Linked DNA regions of Danio rerio. The protein of the gene in region 1 purifies or fractionates together with the protein of each later gene. This does not show direct contact. Links are inferred from orthologs where the notes say so. Each region holds a gene or a part of one and is shown in the gene's direction. Other genes may lie near its edges. The genes, in order: kdm6a, kmt2cb and paxip1.

Region 1 (6,507 bases):
CCAATTTACATTTAAGAACATGTTGGCTTATTCCCTTAAAAAATGTCATTCTTGGTGTTAAAAAAAACCTGCAGCTTGTTCTAGGCATTGACGGTCACAAAACAAAATCAGAAATGTTATCTGGCATAAAAAATTGTAATCTTTTGAACACTTAATTTTCTAATGGATCATTTTTCATTATAGAAGCAATAAACCACTCAAGTGCATGATTTACAGTGAATTATTTTTTTATACCATGGTGAAAAGGGCACTCTACTTCATGATGTGCTTAATAGCACTGTTTAGCAGTAATAAAATCACTCTAATGCATGCCTCATGCGGTTTAGTGCTTCATCAGGATGCTCTTGAGAGTTTCATTCAAGTCTGAAGCAGGTTTGCAAAGTAAATGTCAGTCTTCAGACCTCTTGCAGTGAACAGACAGAGTTGATGGAACAGGAAGGCATGTTAGGTCGTCTCATCTGACCTCCGTCCTGTGGCTTTGCAGGTGGAAGCTGCAGCTGGCTGAGTTGAGTAAACTGCCTGCCTTCGCACGGGTGGTGTCTGCAGGGAATCTGCTCAGTCATGTGGGCCACACAATTCTCGGCATGAACACAGTCCAGCTCTATATGAAGGTCCCGGGCAGCAGGACACCAGGTCAGCTTTTTGGCTCGCAAGCACTGACACGTGCTCTACTAGCGACATTAATGAAACTCAAAAAAAAAAAAATGTCTTTAATCTTTTCAGGTCATCAAGAAAACAACAACTTCTGCTCTGTGAACATAAACATTGGCCCTGGAGATTGTGAATGGTTTGCCGTTCCTGAGCCGTACTGGGGTGTCATGAATGATTTCTGTGAAAAGTAAGCAGTCTGCCTGTCTATTTGATACTTCTAAAACACCGTCAATTTAATATCAAATATTTTTTTCTCAGAAATATCAATACCAATAAAGAATCCTCAATAGGAATGATTAAAATGTATTAGTTTAGAAAAAGAAAACATAGAAATAGAAGTTGTTTAAACTTGCAATTTTGTATATTGCGTCTTTTTTTGTTTCAAATGTACTGACAATTGTCACTTTAGTTGTTGTTTTTTTAAAGCTGAGTTTACAAATGACATGGTTTTTGTTTGTCTGTTATTTTCTCAGATATTATTGTATTTTCAAACTCATTAGAGGCAAAGGGACAGATTACCTAACAGCTTGCACCAACACAAATTACATTTTCCCCCCATTAAAGATGACTCTGAGCTCCAGAGAACAGTGCACATCGGACAGTTTATCAAGGATGTGAAAATAAATGTGATATGTGATATTTAATTCATCTGGTCTCTATCTAACGTCTTGTAAGTTACTTAGTAATTTTAGTGAAAACCTCAGGTACTGTTGGTTGTGCACCTTTTTTACCAACGAACCTCCTGCAGAAAAAGTGATTGACGGGGTAATTTGTGTGCAACTTATCTTTATTCGTTTATAATTTGTTTATAGGTAAAATAAAGACCATGCGGGTCAGGTAGTTGAAACGGTAGGCTACGAATAAATAATTTGTTAAGAATAAATTAATTATTCATAAATAATGAATTCACCTCCGCCAATGACATCGATGCCATCGTCCATCACAATGTTTCACATTAGACATCGTACGATACCAAATTGATCGACATCGCCCAACCCTAGGTGAAGTGTCTCTTTAAATTTATATTACTATTTTTTCTTTTTTGAGTTCTGTCAATACATCACATGGTTAGTAATTTAATCAATGTATCGATCTACATGAGCTGTATACACACAGACATTAAATTTCAGCCAGCCAGCCCCAAGGCGTCCGGTAAATTGTCATGCCATACAAAATCGCTGTTTGTTTTTTGTGTGTGTTTTGTAATTTCTTTAAACACGGATATCACTAACTGGCTGACATACGATATAAAGTGGGTATCAGACCAAACAAGAAGCACTGCATTAATTATATCTTTTCATGTCTTTAAAATATGGAAATTCATTTTACTCCAGTATTTTCAAATGTGTTTCTGTGCTAACCTGCGCCTAATGACTGCACATGCGTTTAAACAGTCTTTCGCCTCTTTTACTCTTTAACAACTAAATAAATGCTCAAGTCTATTTAACTGATTATATGTGAATTGCATTACAACATCAATGCTGTAAAAGGAACTTGATGAAATTGAAAATATTCACATAAACCTTTCACCAGAAGTTCATCATTGGCTGAAAAACACTAGCTGTGCAGATACATTAATACAGGGGTCTCAAACTCAATTTAACTGGGGGCCGCAGGAGGCAAAGTCTGGGTGAGGCTGGGCTGCATAAGGGATTTCACAAAAAAAGTCCTCAAATGTCATTATTAACAGTTTTAATTATTTCTTCTGAACATGAAGTGTCCTGAACATTAATAACACATTGAGTGAAGATTATGAACAGTTCTTCTGAACATGGCATCTTTTGCCTATTTCTTGCTGCCAGAGACTTGACAGCGCTTCTTCTCACAAATCTGAACCACATCTGGCTTTAGAGCGGAAGCAGTTGAGACCCTCAGTATGGCTTGAAGATGATCATCATTAAGTCTAGACCTGTACTTTGACTTATTGAAGTCCTGGGAAAAAAGTGGGGGAACTCACTCAAAACTTCCATTCCCTCACCTAAAAAAAAGGTGTATATATTTATAAATAAAACACCCCCACCCCACTCCAGTCACATCAGTCTGTACCAGTCTGTATCTACCTATGATATATATAAGATGCAGGGCAGGCACATGCACACATAGGGCTCAACCTGTGCAGAGCACATGCCCTTTTTAGTCTTGCATAGAAAGTGCCCCCGCGACGCGACACACCCTCGGTCCCGCCCTTCAGTAGGCGCGCGATAACACCGCTCTTGAGTACACGCGCGACAACACAGCTGATGAGAACGCGCGCGACAACACGGCGGGCGGGGAATGCCAGTGACCGCTGTGTACGGATAGAATCAGCGGAGCGGGGAGCGCTCTCTCTCCCCACTCCGCTGATTCTGTCAGTGTACATCGGTTGGCGCGGGCCACAAAATATTGCACTGAGGGCCGCGAGTTTGAGACCCTTGCATTAATAGATTATTGATTTATCTTTACATCCCTTGCAGGTATTTTACAGATGTTCATGTCCAGTAGTGTACTTTTTTATTCCAACCGTAAACAAAGAAGAGTTGTTCTTTTTTATTTTCCAATTGTAAACAACAACCTTTGTCAGTTTTGACAACAGAATTAATAGTTTAAAAGTGAGGTTGTGAGATGCTCATGCTGATTTTCATGTATTCTTTATGCAGGAATAATATTAATTATCTAATGGGATCTTGGTGGCCAAATCTTGAGGACTTGTATGAGGCAAATGTTCCAGTGTATCGCTTTATCCAGCGACCAGGTGATCTGGTCTGGCTCAATACAGGGACTGTGCATTGGGTTCAGGCTATTGGCTGGTGCAACAACATTGCCTGGAACGTAGGACCACTCACTGGTAAATATATCAAGATTTGTATCATTGCTGTTGGACCAACAGATCTAGAATCTGGTGAGCTGCCTAAGACCTGTTGTTCCTACATAAGCTGTTGTATTTTACGGCATCTGAACGAGGGGTGGTCAAACTTGGTCCTGGACAGCTGATGTCCTGCAGATTTTAGCTTCAACGTTCCTCAACACACCTGCAAGGATGTTTCTGGAAAGCCTAGTAAGAGCTTGATTAGCTAGCCCAGGTCTGTCAGATTGGGGTAGGAAGTACCGAGTTTGGACACCCCTGGTCTGAACCATCATGCCATGTCTGGAGTAAGGGTGTTTTTTTTTTATGAGTTTTTAAATAATTATTATAATAATTTTTTTTTATAAAAACTAATTGGCAGTCTAATCACAAAAACAAAGTACTGTACTTTACTGTACTGAACCACATCAATATAAAGCCAAACATTTATTATAAGTTATTTATTATAATTCTTACAGCCATCTTTTCTCTTGCTTTTGTCTGCCGCCTTAAATATATATTTTTTCATTTTTTCAAGTTGAAGGATTGCAGACTGTTCAACCTTACAATCTGGCTAACTAGGAAGAATAATTTTTCTAATTGCATTTTGTCATAGCCTTCAGGTCTGCCAGTGCGCCTTAACTTCTGCCTATAATACTGTCTATTTTCCATTTAATAAAAGCCCATCTGTCAAAACAAAACAAAAACAGCTGCTATTTTATTAAGCAGCTTGGCTTTGCGATACTTGAATTTGATGTTTTTCTTTGTGTCTTTTACATCCTTTATTCTGCAAAACTCAAGGTTATTCATTCATTTTATGTCTTTTATAATTTTTGTAGTTTTTTTAATTGTTCAACATTGCATTGTTAAGATGGCCACTCATGTCATCAAATAAAAATAAAACACAAATTAACGTGTAGCTTATTTTGTCTCTCTGTGATATAAAATAAATATCTTAAAGATTAAAGTTAAGAAATGTATTGAGTTAACTAATAGTAACTAAAACTAGCTAATAGTTTTATGTAGTTAATTAAACATTAGAACACAGTATTGCATTTTTCCCCACCGACAAAAATAGCCTAAACCAGCATAGGTAAATAACAGAAGCACACATGAAGCAAAATATAATTGTCGTCATTATAAAAAAAAGATATATTAAAGAATATTGCATAATTGTTTTTCTTTTTTTCCATGTACTCGAACTGGAGTTGAACGATAAACATTGTGAAAGGCACTATACAAAAACTTTTAATTTAAATGCGGCTCATCTATTTTGCTGTAGTTTCTAATCGTGTTGGTCCTTCCTCAGTGCATCAGTACAAGCTAGCGGTGGAGCGCTATGAGTGGAACAAACTCCAGAGTGTCAAATCCATCGTTCCCATGATTCACCTCTCCTGGAATATGGCCAGAAACATCAAAGTGTCAGACCACAAGCTCTTTGAGATGATCAAGTGAGTCTGCGGCACCACATTTGCCATTTGATCAGTCACAGTGATGCAGTATGCCGTGACTGAAATTTCAAGCAGTTTATTGGAAGTTTTAAATAAGGTATGCATGCTCCTCCTCTTCCCGTTCAGGTACTGTTTATTGAGGACACTAAAGCAGTGTCAGATGCTGAGGGAGGCTCTCATAGCTGCTGGAAAAGAGCTTGTTTGGCATGGAAGGACCAAGGACGAACCTGCTCACTACTGTAGCATCTGTGAGGTGTGCATTTTCATTTCTTTTCCAGATTTAAATGTCTAGTCATGAAAAGTTTTGAATAATATGCCAAGTTGGACTGAGTTGTCTTGCTAAGGAGAACACAATTCAGTATTGTTAACTGTCTGTGTAGCTGGTTTTCTGTTCAGACAGTGTTACAAGTTCAACTACCAAATTGAGTCTCTCTTCTGTCTTATTGTACTCGAGTGGATAAAACGAATTGTATTTTTTTATTTGGGGGTGTCTAATCTTAACAATTTTGTAAACTTAATTTTGTAAACTTAAAGTTTTGTAAATCTATAATTAAAACCTAATAAGTATTTAATTCAACTGCTAATTAATTATTTTAGCTTGTTTGTATTTATGGTATGTTTGCTTTTCTTTTCTTTTTTGCATTTCCACAAACTTTCTAGCACCCCCTTGTGGCACCCTTGAGGTTTTTTATGAAATGCCTGATTTTTGAAATACTTCTGGCCCCCAACAAGATCCACTCATAGTTATGCATTTGGCCATGAGATTTGAATTTAATCATATCATAGACAAATGTTACTCTCAGGGGTCTCATTATCAAATATCATGATATTTCATAACAGTTAACCCTGTAAAAAAATCACCAAAATTAACCAAAAAGAAAAATACTTGAAATTGCTCTTTAAATGTATTGCGTAAAATTATATTTTTTACATTTATTTGCATGAATTGTTTTAGCAGATGCTTTTATCCAAAGCAGCTTACTGGTGAGGATAAAATGAAGCATTTTGAATCATCAGAGAGTAGCAGTATGCTATAAAATGCTGACAAGTCTAAGTTTGATTAAAAAAATATTGTAAAGTTAGTAGTTTTAAAGATTTTGTTTTTCTTTTTTTCTTTTTTTTTGTTTCTTCAATCATACAGAGGGGATTGTGTCCTAAAGATGGTTTGTCAAGCCCACTCACCTGTGTAAAGCACACTCAGAATTTAACTATTTCCATAAAGTATAGAAACCAGCATTATTTTATTTTCTATTGTCATTTGTTAGTTTAAAATAAAGTTAAAGTCATGGCTATGATATTAAATCCAGATGACCGATCCAGAACTTTTAATCTTGAAATTTATCATAATTTTTAAACAGTTAACAAATATTTTTACATTTCTGCGAACTCAATTACAATTTTGGTAGGTGGACATTTTATTTTATGCAAATTTTAACAATCTAGACTCAAAGTGTAAAGCACTTGACACAAAAGCAGTAAAGGCGTCTCTGAATCCACTTGCTATTTAAAGGACAGAAAAATACGCTCTGCGCCGCCACACATGGTCTAACAGGGTTGTGTTTATTCTCTTAATGAGTTATGGGT
Region 2 (6,507 bases), on another chromosome or scaffold:
CAAAAAGCTGGACATGCCCCCTCATGTGAAGAAGCACTTGCTTTGTGTGCTTCTGTTTCACGAAGGTGTCCCTCTGGTTTCCTTAGTTGTGGTTTCAAATCATTTCCAGTATATCTTATTTTAAGATGTACGTTGTAGGGGCATTGCCAAGTGTTCAGATGTATTCATGGATTTGATTTACACACTCTAGATAACTTCAAAAGAAGTCCTCTGCACCTAGCCAGATGTTTCATTTTATAGACAGAATGATAATAAAGTACAAACTATATTTTTGATCAAGAAGCCATTTCGTTTTTTTTGTGTCAGTCCATTTGTTACTTTAGTTTAACCAGCTAAAATTGAGGCAACTGCACCAAGGACATTTTGTGCTTGTTTAAAAAAGTATAATGCTTAGTTTATGAAGCTTAATAGAGTTTATGTAGATGTTTATAGAACCAAATGGGGAGTTTGGATACAAAATAACAACAATATTAAGTGTTTACACAACTATTAATTCAGTTAGTGTTCAAAAAAAATGAGAGTGCGTTAGCTGGTAATGTGTCAGAAAAATCGGTTCATTATCAGTGTTATTAAAACTGGACAATAACTGTTCATTTTAAAATGAATATAGGTGCACAAAATTATCCAGTTTTGCAAACTTCATGTCTCAAATGTAACCAAAATCATAAAGTGATTGATTATACAGCCTTTTGGAAATTCAATTCAGCTGCAAGATTGATGCATGGTAAATTGTTAGGTCAATCTTGAAAATGACAGTTTGAACAATGACATTTACAAGTCTGTGCAATTTGTTTGTATTTATGTAAGGAGCACTTTGAATTAAAAAATAGAGATTTTTTTTTATTACTTTTTTAATTATATCTCAGAATATACATTTAACAGATGCATACACACGTCAGTCTTTTTACACTCTGGAAATCATTCAACATATTAATGAATTATCTTGCACTCAAGGGTGCTTGTATGTTTGTTTAATCAAATGTGCTCTAGAATGATAAAGTCCTTCAACCATTATGGTTCTATGTATCTGTGGTTCCACGAAGAATATTTAACATGCATAAAAATACTTCCGTTTCCGTCTTTTCAGTCCACTTTTATTTTTTTATTTTTTTTATACCTTTGAGTAGTGATAACACATTGCTAAATATGCTTTTTAGTTATTCCATAAAATAAAGCCAACTGGTTGTTTGAAAATTTAAGCAGTTTCATCCGTCTGTGCTTCCCCAGCTTCCTTTTTCAATAGGAAATATGTCAACATGAAACAAAAAAATGCACTTTCCAAGCTCTTTCATGACTATCACAAACAATGTGTTTGTAAAAGCTAAAGGTAATGTACACAGTGTCATTAAAGGCTTGACTCGAGCATGTGAGTGAGGTGTAATTGTTTACTCAAGGCAGGATACAATGATCGCAGCCCAGGGAGGGATCCCACGTAGTTCCCGGAAAAGACAGCATCCCATTGGCAATATGCCTTGTCAGCTAAGTGGACAGGTTGGCAGAAGCACCACACAGAGCAAACACAAGGGTCAGCATGGGGGATCCAGGAGAGCAGTGACCATAATATGCACTACATTTAGAAAGAATAATGCAACACAACTAAAACATTCTCTGTCAACTTGTCAAATGTGTTGTATTTGGAGTATTCATTTCCATCATGTAGTTGGTACTGTGCTAATACAATTCAAACATGATAATAAAAAAACGGATGGATAATTTTTAGCTGACATTACATAAACTGATACATTATTTTTTTAGCACACTAAATATGACATTTTTGACACATTTTCATGGAATTATGTTTTATTTCAGAGTTGATCTTCACACTATGCATAAGTTATATTAGTTTTTTAAAATGCTTTTTTTAGTATTGAACCCGGGAATCATTTTCTTCTGGAATATCTAGGTTTTTAATAAAGTTGTAGTTAGCTTATTCAAAAAATAGCTTATTTAAGGCTCAACAATAAGGACTGCCCAGTGGCCCAGGGCCAGCTTGAGAGACACTTGGGACAGTAGACCGGATCATTACTGGCCCGATTGGGACAGTGTTGCCTTGTCACTAACATTTAATTTGTCTGTTTACTAACATTTAATTTGTCAATTGAGTTTGTGCTTTTAAGTTTTTAAACACTACCTTCCCTGTTATGTCGTAAACACCATATTGCTTTCCAGTTCCTCTTATTTGATTGACCATGATATTTTTTTCTGTAACCTGGTAAAAACCAGTCCAGCGAAGAAACGGCAACATGGAGGCAACATCAAATTATAAGGCTAAAAGAAAATGTCTGTTTCTAACATCTTGGAAGTAGACATTTACGTCTGACTAACAGAACAAAATAAAAATGAAGTGATATTTTGCACAGTTTCGGCCAGTTTGACAAGTCAGCCACCTTTTTTTAACATTTTCTGTACTGCTCTTTTTGTTTGCATAACACTTTTATTTACAATTTATTTTAAATATTAAAATTCTAGATTCACAGACTTTATTTTTGACACATTATTTAAAATGTGGCAAAAAATTGCTATTAACTTCCTTTTTTTTTGGTGGGGCCAGTGAAAATTTTGGCAGGGCAAGTAAAAATCTGAACCACTTGCCCGATCGGATCAGTAAAAAAAATCCATAGCGTTGAACCCTGTTATTGGAAAGTTGTAAAGGTCTAAATCTGCTGAAAAAAAACTGTGATGAAAGCCTTCTCAAAAACCTAATAATTAGCTTTGACTAATTAAATATTGTACATCAGACTACATCATAGCGGACACTTATTTTGCATATCTGTTATAATAAAATATTACGTGTTACCTTTTTATCAACAGAATGTCATCAGAGGAGAAAAGTCTGGACCCCTCTGACAAAGGACCCTCTCCACCTCCTTGCAGCTCTGGGGCCACTCCCACTGGAAGTCCAACCCCCACAGATAAGCGGCCTAGAGGCCGCCCTCGTAAGGACGCCTTATCCACAGCAACATCAATTCCCTCTGTGCCCAGACAGAGAAAAAAGTAAGTTAGCTTAAATTTTTGCAATTGGTATTGTAACTGATTTGAATATCAATCTACATATCTTCAAAACTAATGTTGATTATTGGTTGTAGAAGACAGAATACATAATACGCTTACACAGGTGGTCAACATATGCACATTGTTTTTGGCAAAATTTTTGTATTTTAGGCTGCTGTTGTACAAATATCTCTCTATCTGTCTCATCCATGTAGGCATCCATTGTCGCTGTAGCATGTGTTTTGGTTTTCCTGCGCATGCAGTTTTTTTTTCTCATGGCAGCTTTTAAGATGACACCCCTGGGACATTGTTTCAGTTTTTACACATGAAGTGGATCAAAACCTATGGAGTTATTTTTGTGCCAAAAAACAAACAAACAAAACTTTTGTAAAAACTAATACAAATATACACTGATAAATGAAAAATAAAAAGACTCAAAAATACAAAACTATAAACTAAACTGCATTAGTATAAACTTTATCAAATACACTGCTTTTTTGTTTACTTCAGCTTATGGCTGTGCGATTAATCGAAATGGAATAGCAATTGCGTTTTGCAACATTGCGATTAGCTAATCGCAAGAGGCTGCAATATGAATATATATATATATATATGTTTTATATAATCTCCCCCGCCCTGAGCAAATGCGTTACGGCCGTCTGTGTAGGACAGTCTTGTCAGCCAATAGTGAGCACACTTTAATACCCAATCAGAATTGCGCAACCGAACTATGCGGAATGTCCACAATAAAAAAACAAATAAACAAACGGTAATCCGTGGATGAGTGGGATGATGTCGTCTGCTGCTTCAGAAGGCAAGGCAAGTTTATTTATATAGCACATTTCATACACAGTGGGATTTTAAAGTGCTTTACATAAACAGAAATAAAAGAAGCAAGTATAAGAAAAATAAAAACAAATAATAAAAATGATAAAAAAAATCAAAAAGAGATAAAACGTGTTATAAAACAATGAAATAGAAGAGAAAAACATAATAGTGCAATCTGTCTGATGAAGCACAGTGCTCATCCAGTAAAGGCACAGCTAAACAGATATGCTTTTAGTCTTGATTTGAATGTGCATAATGTTGGTGCACATCTGATCATTTCTAGAAGCTGATTACAGCAGTAAGGGGCGTAGTAGCTGAAAGCTGATTCACCCTGATTTGACTAGAACTCTTGGAGTTTCTAGTTTATTTGATCCTAGAGATCTGAGTGATACAAAGATTTCAGGTGGCGCCCTTTCGCATCACAATAAATTCCAATGCTAGTGTAAATATAAGAAACATATTACATTTGTTTTGGACATTCTATTATCTAAATAAAGCAATTGTACATTCAGAATATTTAGATAGACGTTTTTGCAACTGTGGGACTGAGAAACCTCAGCAGCACATCTGAAGACAAAAGAGGAATCCCAGTTGTTAACATGCACGTCAAAAAAAATATGCAGCGCTCATGAAACATGATCTTATTTTAACTAAACATACTATGAAACAGAAAGGAGGGATGTAAAGTCAGGGAGGTAGGATAAGGCCTTAAAAAAATTATGAGTCGGGTCTAAAAGACAGATAATTCTCATTCATTTACTCATTTTCTTTTCGGCTTATGCCTAGTTCAGACTGCGTGATTTTAGCCCTGATTTTGGCTCGCAGACAGGTTTTGAGAAATTGCCGACAAACGCCTGAAATCACTGGCCAATTGGTGCTCGTGCACGTGAGTGACAATAAAACAGTATGAACTATCAAAGACGCGATCTGAGAGAATCGGCCATGAGTCGCCGATGCCTGCGAGATATTTGACATGCTAAATATCTGGAGCTGTCGGCGATTCAAATCATGCCGTGTGAATTGAGTTTTGACTGAAAATAACATCAGCGATCGCCTACAGCCAATGAGAGAGCGGCATTCACTTGTGTGTGCGTGTGTGTATACCTGCTGCAGGCCAGCGGGAGGCTGGGGGAGAAGTTAAAATCGCTCTTTTTTTCAGTTTATTTGGACCCACGAAATGGAGGAAAAACTAGTGGAGGTTTGACAGGACTCAGGAGGTGTTTTTGGCTGTGAGACGTAGTTTGGACGAAGTTGTCGTCGATTCTTCCTATAATAAAGTTATGCAATGTGAAAGTCCCTGTCGCCGATCCATCTTGCAGTGTAAACAAAACGGCGACAAAACGCTAGCCCAGATAGTCATAACTAGCCCAGTTATGCAGTGTGAAAACATCTGTGACACAACTACTTTGAAAATCATGCAGTCTGAACTCTGCATTAGTCTCTTTATTTAATCAGGGGTCACCACTGATCTGCATGCCAGTACTGGGAAACATCCATACACACTCATTCACGTTCATACACTACAGCCAGTTTAGTTTATTCGATTCCCCTATAGCGCATGGCCTTAGGACTTGTGGGGGGAAACCGGAGCACCTAGAGGAAACGCATGCCAACATGGGGAGAACATGCAAACTCCACACAGAAATGCCAACTGAATTAAATTAATAAGCTATTCCTGCAAAGGACTTCTTAAATAATCTTAGCATATTACTCCAGTTGTGTCTTTGTGTTACAGTTACATTTAAGACAAATTTCTGTTGTTTATTTAGAATATTAATTGTATGATCAAGGTGAATGCGTACCTTGGCACTAAGGGTCAAACAACAAAAAATAAGCTCAAGAATCTTGGTGTGACTCTGGAGTCAGATCTGAGTTTCAGTAGTCATGTCAAAGCAGTAAGTAAATCAGCATACTATCATCTCAAAAACATTGCATGAATTAGATGCTTTGTTTCCAGCGAAGACTTATGCCGAGTTCAGACTGCATGATTTTAGCCCTGAATTTTGACCCGCCAACAGGTTTTGAGAAATCGGTGACAAATGCCTGAAATCACAGGCAAATCAGTGCTTTTGCACGTGAGTGACAAGCACAAAGTATTAACTATCAAAGACGCCATCTGAGAGAATCGCCCATGAGTCGCCGATGCCTGTGAGATATTTAGCATGCTAAATATTTGGAACTGTTGGTGATTCAAATCATTTCGTGTGAAAGGAGTTTTGACTGAAAAGAACATCAGCGATCACCTACAGCCAATGAGAGAGCAGCATTTACGGGACTAGTGTGTGTGTGTGTGTACCTGGAGGCCAGCGAGAGGCTGGGGGAGAAGTTAAAAGCGCTCCTTTTCAGTTTATTTGGACCCAATAAATGGAGGAAAAACTAGTTTGACAGGAGCACCTGTGTCTGTTTAACGTTTCATACAGAAAGTTAAAAAACTTGTGGAGAAATTGCTAATTCCCTAAAAACTAAGTTAGCAAATATCTACATTTTCTACCTCATTAAAGGCTTCCTTCTCATTATTTAGTTAATAACAAAAGATATACTACGTGTTTTTGGCTTTGAGACATAGTTTGGACAAAGTTGACAAAGATTCTTCCTATTGTAAAGTCATGCAATGTGAAAGCCCCTGTCGCTGATCCATCTTGCTGTGTAAACAAAGCAGCGACAAAACGCTAGCCCAGAGTCATGCAG
Region 3 (6,507 bases), on another chromosome or scaffold:
TTTTCAACGGTAGTGAGGAAAGAGGGCTGCTCAGAAATGCTACACGCCACTGTGGATGTCAAATCGTTGTCGTTCTAAAATGCCATTTAAAAACAAAGACATATTAGTGTAAACACTGCCAGAGTGTGTACTTTTCATGAGCGGATTTGCAACGGGGGCGGGGCAGAGGATCGCGATGCCGGTGTTGTCTATTGGACGAACCCTAATACGTGCGTTGCAGAGCTTGCAAAACTTTTTTTTTTTTTTTTTTGTCGACAACACGAACGTTATCAACATAACTCACTGGAAACCAAAATGCTTCCACACCGGCGACTTCATTGAAAGAGGAGAGGGTTTAAGCTCTGTCGACAGGTCTCCTGCGTCTGCCGTTTAACAAGCTCTTTAACAAGCGTGTTTTTTTCCCGCTTGGCAAGCCAAGCTGACTTGACATGGGGGCGTGGCAGCATCGACGATTCTATTTTATGATTCGATAATCGAAATTGAGCATAAATTTCGATCGATTTCGATTTAAAATCGAGATCGTGACACCCTTACTCACTTTATTGGTTAATAAGCTTACCTCACAAAAATGATGGTCATGCATTTGCTTTTGGAGACAGGTCTGTTTAAATATTATTATATATTCAACACAATTACACAATTTCTAATCAATTAAGGCTTTGGTGGGACAAAAAAAGCTGTTTTCCGGCCACTAGGTTGCTGTTGAAAGTGGTGTTCGTAAGGCTAGCAGGGGGTGCTTGACCTGTGGTCTGTGAGTCCTAATGCCCCAGTAAAAGTAAAGGGGACACTATACTGTCAGTGAGCGCCGTCTTTCGGTTGAGACATAAAACCGAGGTCCTGAGTCTCTGTGGTCATTAAAAATCCCATAGCACTTCTCGTAAAGAGTAGGGTTGTAACCTCGGTGTCCTCCATCGGCCCTCACTGATCATAGCCTCCCAATCCTCCCCATCATGCTCGTGCAGAGACTGTCCAAAGGGCATGTGCAGGATAAAATTTTTGAAGAGCAGGTGGGGGTTGTTGTTGTCGTCGTCGTCGTTGTCGTCGTCGTCGTCGCCGCCACCGCCGGGTGCATACTGAAGAGTGGTTTTGTCACGCGCGTACTGTTAAGCGCGGGGTGGTAGGGAACACGCGTACTCAGGAGCGGTGTTGTCGCGCGCGGGAATCAGTGCCCAGAAAATAAACTTTTTTTTAAATTCAACAAGAAATAGGAAAAAAATCACTTTTTTTTTAAGTCAAGACACGATGATATTGTGTATAGAAGATGCCGCATTGGACGCACAAGACTCACGCATGAACATTTACTCAAAGGAGAAGAACCCCCATAATGCCTTTATTGCAACAAAAAACAAACTGTTAAACATATTCTTGTGGAATGCCCCATTTTTAATGTTCTTAGACAACAATTTTTAACTGGAGAGACTCTAAGTGAAATTTTTAAAAATGTTAATCCTTCTAAAATTGTAGAATTTTTATCAAAAGGAAACCGTAAAAAACTGTTTTAGATTTTTATCATATATATTATCATTTTTATTATTATTTATGTATTTTACCTTGTGTATTATTTATTTCTGTTAATGACTTAATTTTTTTTAGGACTTTTTTTAAGAATATAGAAAAGTGGTATTCATAAAATGTGGTAACCTTGATCTGTTTTTTTTTTGCCATGACATAGCCATAGAAGCTGAAATGGCAATAAAATTAAAACTCTCTCTCTCTCTCTCTCTCTCTCTCTCTCTGAAGGGCGGTGGGGGGGCACTTTTGATCATTTTAGAAGGGCACTTTCTATCCAAGACTAAAAAGGACATGTGCACTGCACAGGTTGAGCCCTATGTGTGCATGTGCCTGCTCCCCATGCACTGAATTGTCTCTATTACTATCTCTCCACTCCATGTATAGCCGGTGTGTGGTGAGCGCACTGGCGTCATTGTCCTGTGGCTGTCGTCGCATCATCCAAGTGGATGCTGCACACTGGTGGTGGTGTGGAGAGAGAGACACCCCCTCATGATTGTTAACCGTAACACTAACCCTAAATCCCTTATGGTGGGCATATCCCTTATTTTTACATCCTAATGTTGACGGGTATGATGGCCTTACAAGATAAAATGCGCTATATAAATACACTTTGCTTAAGTACATCCAAAAATGTAGGAAAAACCCTGGAGTAATATTAACTTATGTTATGTTGCATGCATTTATAAAACTTTTTTTGTTATTACCAAGTATTTAAATGGCACATAAGTAAATAAGTACATATAGCGTTTGGAACAAAAAACAAATATTATAATATTCATATTTTAATCTTATTTTGTTGAAAAACTGCAGGATTTGATCAAAGCAGCTTTTTGGTTAACAAAGCCTTTTAAATTACATGCTTGGGAAGATGGTTGACGTATGTTATATTCCCAAATGCACCTATTCTAAGCAACACAATTTTTTGGCGCATGCAGAAATTAAGTTTCTGTGGAGGAGCATGTATTGTGAAATATATTTATTTAATTAAATTACAGCTTGTGATTTGATAATCGCACCGAGACAGTGTGCAATTTCTGTTTCATTTCGATCAGTCATGCAGCTCTACTGTAATTTGTTTTTCATTTGTTTGTTTTTTTCTGTATTTTCCAGGCCAAGTACGAGTGTGCTTTGCGGCATAATAACATAAAGATAGTAACTCCAGAATGGATTTTGGACTCTGTAAAAGAAAAGAACAGGAAAGATGAGATGCTATATCACCCACGACTCACATTATATGATGCACCGGAAGAGGAGGGCAGTGAGTATGAAAACGAGAGGAGCTCACGATCTGAAGGTAGCTATAGTGACAGACGCTCGCCTCACAGCCGACGCTCCAGCCCTACATCATCCCGAGACGCATCCCCAGCAGGCAGGCGCTCACCCTCAACCAAACATGAACGCAAATCAGAGTTGATGTTCGATGACTCTGATGACTCATCCCCAGAGAAGGAGGATCGCAATCTCAATTGGACCCCAGCTGAGGTGCTTCCGCCTGGTCCGGCTAAACGTCGACTACAGCCTGGCAAAGAAACCGGTTTGATCAATCTGTGTGCCAATGTCCCACCTGTACCAGGAAGCTTTGGGCCACCTGATGCACGAATGGTCGGTGCAGGTGCAGGTGGAGGTGTGCCTATGGGGGTGGAAAGATTAGAGGTCATGAGTGAATGGAATTCAGCCGCCAGGACGCTAAGAAACATCACTAACAACACTGATACCCAACAGCCCTCTCGACCCTCCAATGTGGCACATGTAAGGATTAGAATTTTCAATGTAACTTTTATATCTAAAGGAAGAATTTCTCCTATATTTATAAGGCCTAATTAGGGCTGGGTGATTTAAATTAATTGAACTATTAATTAATTTTTTGACCTCATAGTTTACTGACAGATTTTGTACAGTAAATAGGCTCACATATTACAAGTGAGAGATTTTTGATCTTTACTATCTATGATTATTTACTTTAATGTTGAACAACTGGAATTAAAACACACATTGCCTTAAACAGTCACTTTCTTGAAAAACAAAGTTGAAAAAAACTTTTGGAAACAAATTTAATCTTTAGGTTTTTCATATTAAAAGTAGAGAATAAGTAGTTTCTCTTTTAAATAAAGTACCTCTTGTATATCCTGTAAATAATATTTTAAACCATGCATTTTTTGAGTCTTCAGTAAACAAATATTTTAATATAAATAATAATCTTAATGTAATGGACAATATGCAGTCTCAAGGCTTTTCTGGCGCAGCTTACAATCATCATCAAAGTAGTGCAAAAGTAGTGCAACATCCGTGCATTCAACGCAGAAGTATAAATCAGCCTTAAGCGAGTGAGCTTACATGACTCCACATGCAGCACAGAAAATAATTGAAAAAATTGACATGGAAAAATTTGATCGATTACAGATTCTGAATGACTATTTCAGTTATTTTCGATTAATCACCCAGCCCTAGACCTAATGCTTTGACCATATTTTGCACAGTGTATCAATCTAGATATGTCCTGTGGACGCGAGAAGGTGTGCAGCTTCAACGGAATACTCTAAATTATTATTAAAGTATTTTTGTTCTGTTGAACACAAAAGAAGATATGTCAAAGGATGTTGGAAACCTGAAACCCTAGACTTTCATAGTATTTGTTTTTTCTACAATGTATATAAATGATTGCAGGTTTCCAACATTAATCAAAATATCTTATTTTTTGTTTAACTGAACAAAAATATATATAATTAGTTTAAAAAATCGAGGTTGAGTAAATGGTGACAATTTGCATTCATTCAGGCTGCAATTTGTCAATTCTGTCTAAAAGCACACAGTGAAACTTCATGCGTATAAAAAAAAAACTAATAAAGGATCAAAATTAAATATCTTTGTAGTATTTTTATAATTTAATTTGTACAAAAGGCAGAAGTGTCTTTATGTATTTTTAAAGTTTAATGAAACATATGCATTTTTCTACAGATCATCCAGAGTTTTTCCGCATCCTCTAAAGGTGTAGTGGATCATATGGGAAATCAGGGCCAGTCTGGTATTCCCAACCAGCTTCTGTTAAAAGCCCAACAGCAGCTTCCTCCTGAAGCACAGCAGCAGTTACTGCAACAACAGCAGCAGCAACAGTCACATCAGCTACAACAGCAACAGCAGCAGCATCAGATGGCACAACAACATCCCATGATGCTGCCACAGGTCATGCAGATGCACCACCATCAACAACAACAACAGCATCAGCCGCCGCCACAGCAACAACAGCAGCAGCAAAACCAACAAGGCTTTCCTCAAATGCCTCCACAATCGCATCAGTTCTTACAGCAACAGATGCATCAGCAGATGTATTCCCAACATCAACAGCAGCAGCAGCAGCAGCAACAACAGCAGCAGCAACAACATGCATTCCCACAACAAATGCGACCCCAACAGCTTCCGAGGCTGCCCTTGCAGCATCAGCAGCAACATGTGCTGCAACAACAGTTACAGTTACAGCAGCAGCACAGACTTCAGTTGCAGTTGCAACAACAACAACAACAGCAGCAGCAACAACAACAACAGCAGCAGCAGCAGCAGCAGCAACAACAACAACAAAAACAACAACAGCAGCAGCAGCAAAACCAGCAGCAGATGCACCAACAGCATTTGCAGCAGCAACAGCATTTCCTACAACAACAACTCCAACAGCAGCACATGCAACAGCTGCAACAACAGCAGCAAATGCAGCAGCAACAGCAACAACATCTGCAGAACCAGCAGCCTCTGCAACATCAGAACCAGCAGGTTAATCCACATCAGACACAGACTATGCTTCAACCTCCAATCACATCTGCACAGCTCTTTGGACACGAGCCTGGCCATGACAGTAAGTGCAATTACTTTACGATATCACCCAGCTGCACATTGTTTTGTGAGCACAATACATATAGTCTGTCTTTGTGAGAAAGTAAAAACGGAAACAGTGACTTCTCCTGAATAGAGTTGTATTAATTTATAATATTCTACGGTGACATTTATCATTACCTTTTCAGTACCTGAAGAGGGATTCCTGGTTGGCTGTATTTTTGCCATTGCTGACTATCCAGAACAAATGGCTGATAAACAGTTACTGGCCACATGGAAAAGGGTAAGCGACTCCGCCACACTCCAACAAATACTAAATTATTCCTTTAGAAAATTGATTTATTTTAATCCATATTTTAAGCTAGCATGTTATGTTTTAGATTAAATTCAACATCAGGAAAGACAGTATTTTTTTGTAGTTTTTTTTATTATTGGCAATTCTCAATCAGAGTTATTGCAAGTGAGAGAAATAAAAACCATAATACAATAATTTTACAATATTAAAGAAAAAATTGACATGGTAATTCAAGGAATTCCTTACTCTCTTATCTAGGGTTGGGCAATGTCAACTAATTTGGCATCATACGATGTCTAATGTGAAACATAGCGATGGACGACGGATGGCATCATCGTCGTAGGCGGCGGTGAAGTTTTTTTTTTATGCATAATTAATAAATTTATAACAAATTAGTTCTTTGTAGCCCACCGTTTTAACTACCTGACCCTTATGGTCTTTGTTTTAACCATAACCAAACCATAAATAAATAAACACAAGTTATACACAAATTACCACCTGTCAATCACTTGTTCTGCAGGACTCTTGCATAAATAGTTCTGCGGAAAATTACTAAGTACAAGCATAAAAGCGAAAGACTGAAGCGGTGTACTGATGCTGTGACGCGTTACCAGATAGATTCAAAAGAGTCGTTAGATAGAGACTAGATTAATTCAATATCACATTTAAAACTACAGTAAGCCTCGATCCAGTGGTACATCCTTGATAAACTGTCTGACGTGTACTGCTCTCTGGGGTTTTGTGCTTGAAGCACCCGCTGACTGCTGGAGCTCAGACCCTCGCATACTCTGCAGCATGACAGTGTGTGTGGGGTCACGTGATGTGCGTTTTCAGCAGAATAGTGTGAAAGGAGGGTTTTTTTAGAAATTCTAGGTGAA

The links.
Region 2: the proteins of kdm6a (region 1) and kmt2cb purify together in Homo sapiens (affinity purification with mass spectrometry; 3 studies listed by BioGRID and IntAct, with this or other methods). This does not show direct contact. The link is inferred for Danio rerio from reciprocal best matches to the Homo sapiens genes KDM6A and KMT2C.
Region 3: the proteins of kdm6a (region 1) and paxip1 purify together in Homo sapiens (affinity purification with mass spectrometry; 6 studies listed by BioGRID and IntAct, with this or other methods). This does not show direct contact. The link is inferred for Danio rerio from reciprocal best matches to the Homo sapiens genes KDM6A and PAXIP1.

The regions. Positions count from the first base shown.
Region 1 is NC_133184.1:35,543,562-35,550,068, forward strand, and holds part of kdm6a (lysine-specific demethylase 6A), read left to right. Parts: intron 1-484; coding exon 485-633; intron 634-723; coding exon 724-838; exon of another isoform or gene 839-2,236; intron 2,237-3,074; exon of another isoform or gene 3,075-3,287; coding exon 3,288-3,475; intron 3,476-4,781; coding exon 4,782-4,923; intron 4,924-5,049; coding exon 5,050-5,176; intron 5,177-6,507. UniProt on the Homo sapiens protein: Histone demethylase that specifically demethylates 'Lys-27' of histone H3, thereby playing a central role in histone code. Demethylates trimethylated and dimethylated but not monomethylated H3 'Lys-27'.
Region 2 is NC_133177.1:13,280,360-13,286,866, forward strand, and holds part of kmt2cb (histone-lysine N-methyltransferase 2C), read left to right. Parts: intron 1-2,811; 5' UTR 2,812-2,812; coding exon 2,813-2,994; intron 2,995-6,507. UniProt on the Homo sapiens protein: Histone methyltransferase that catalyzes methyl group transfer from S-adenosyl-L-methionine to the epsilon-amino group of 'Lys-4' of histone H3 (H3K4).
Region 3 is NC_133177.1:32,871,134-32,877,640, reverse strand, and holds part of paxip1 (PAX-interacting protein 1), read left to right. Parts: intron 1-2,622; coding exon 2,623-3,261; intron 3,262-4,467; coding exon 4,468-5,356; intron 5,357-5,522; coding exon 5,523-5,617; intron 5,618-6,507.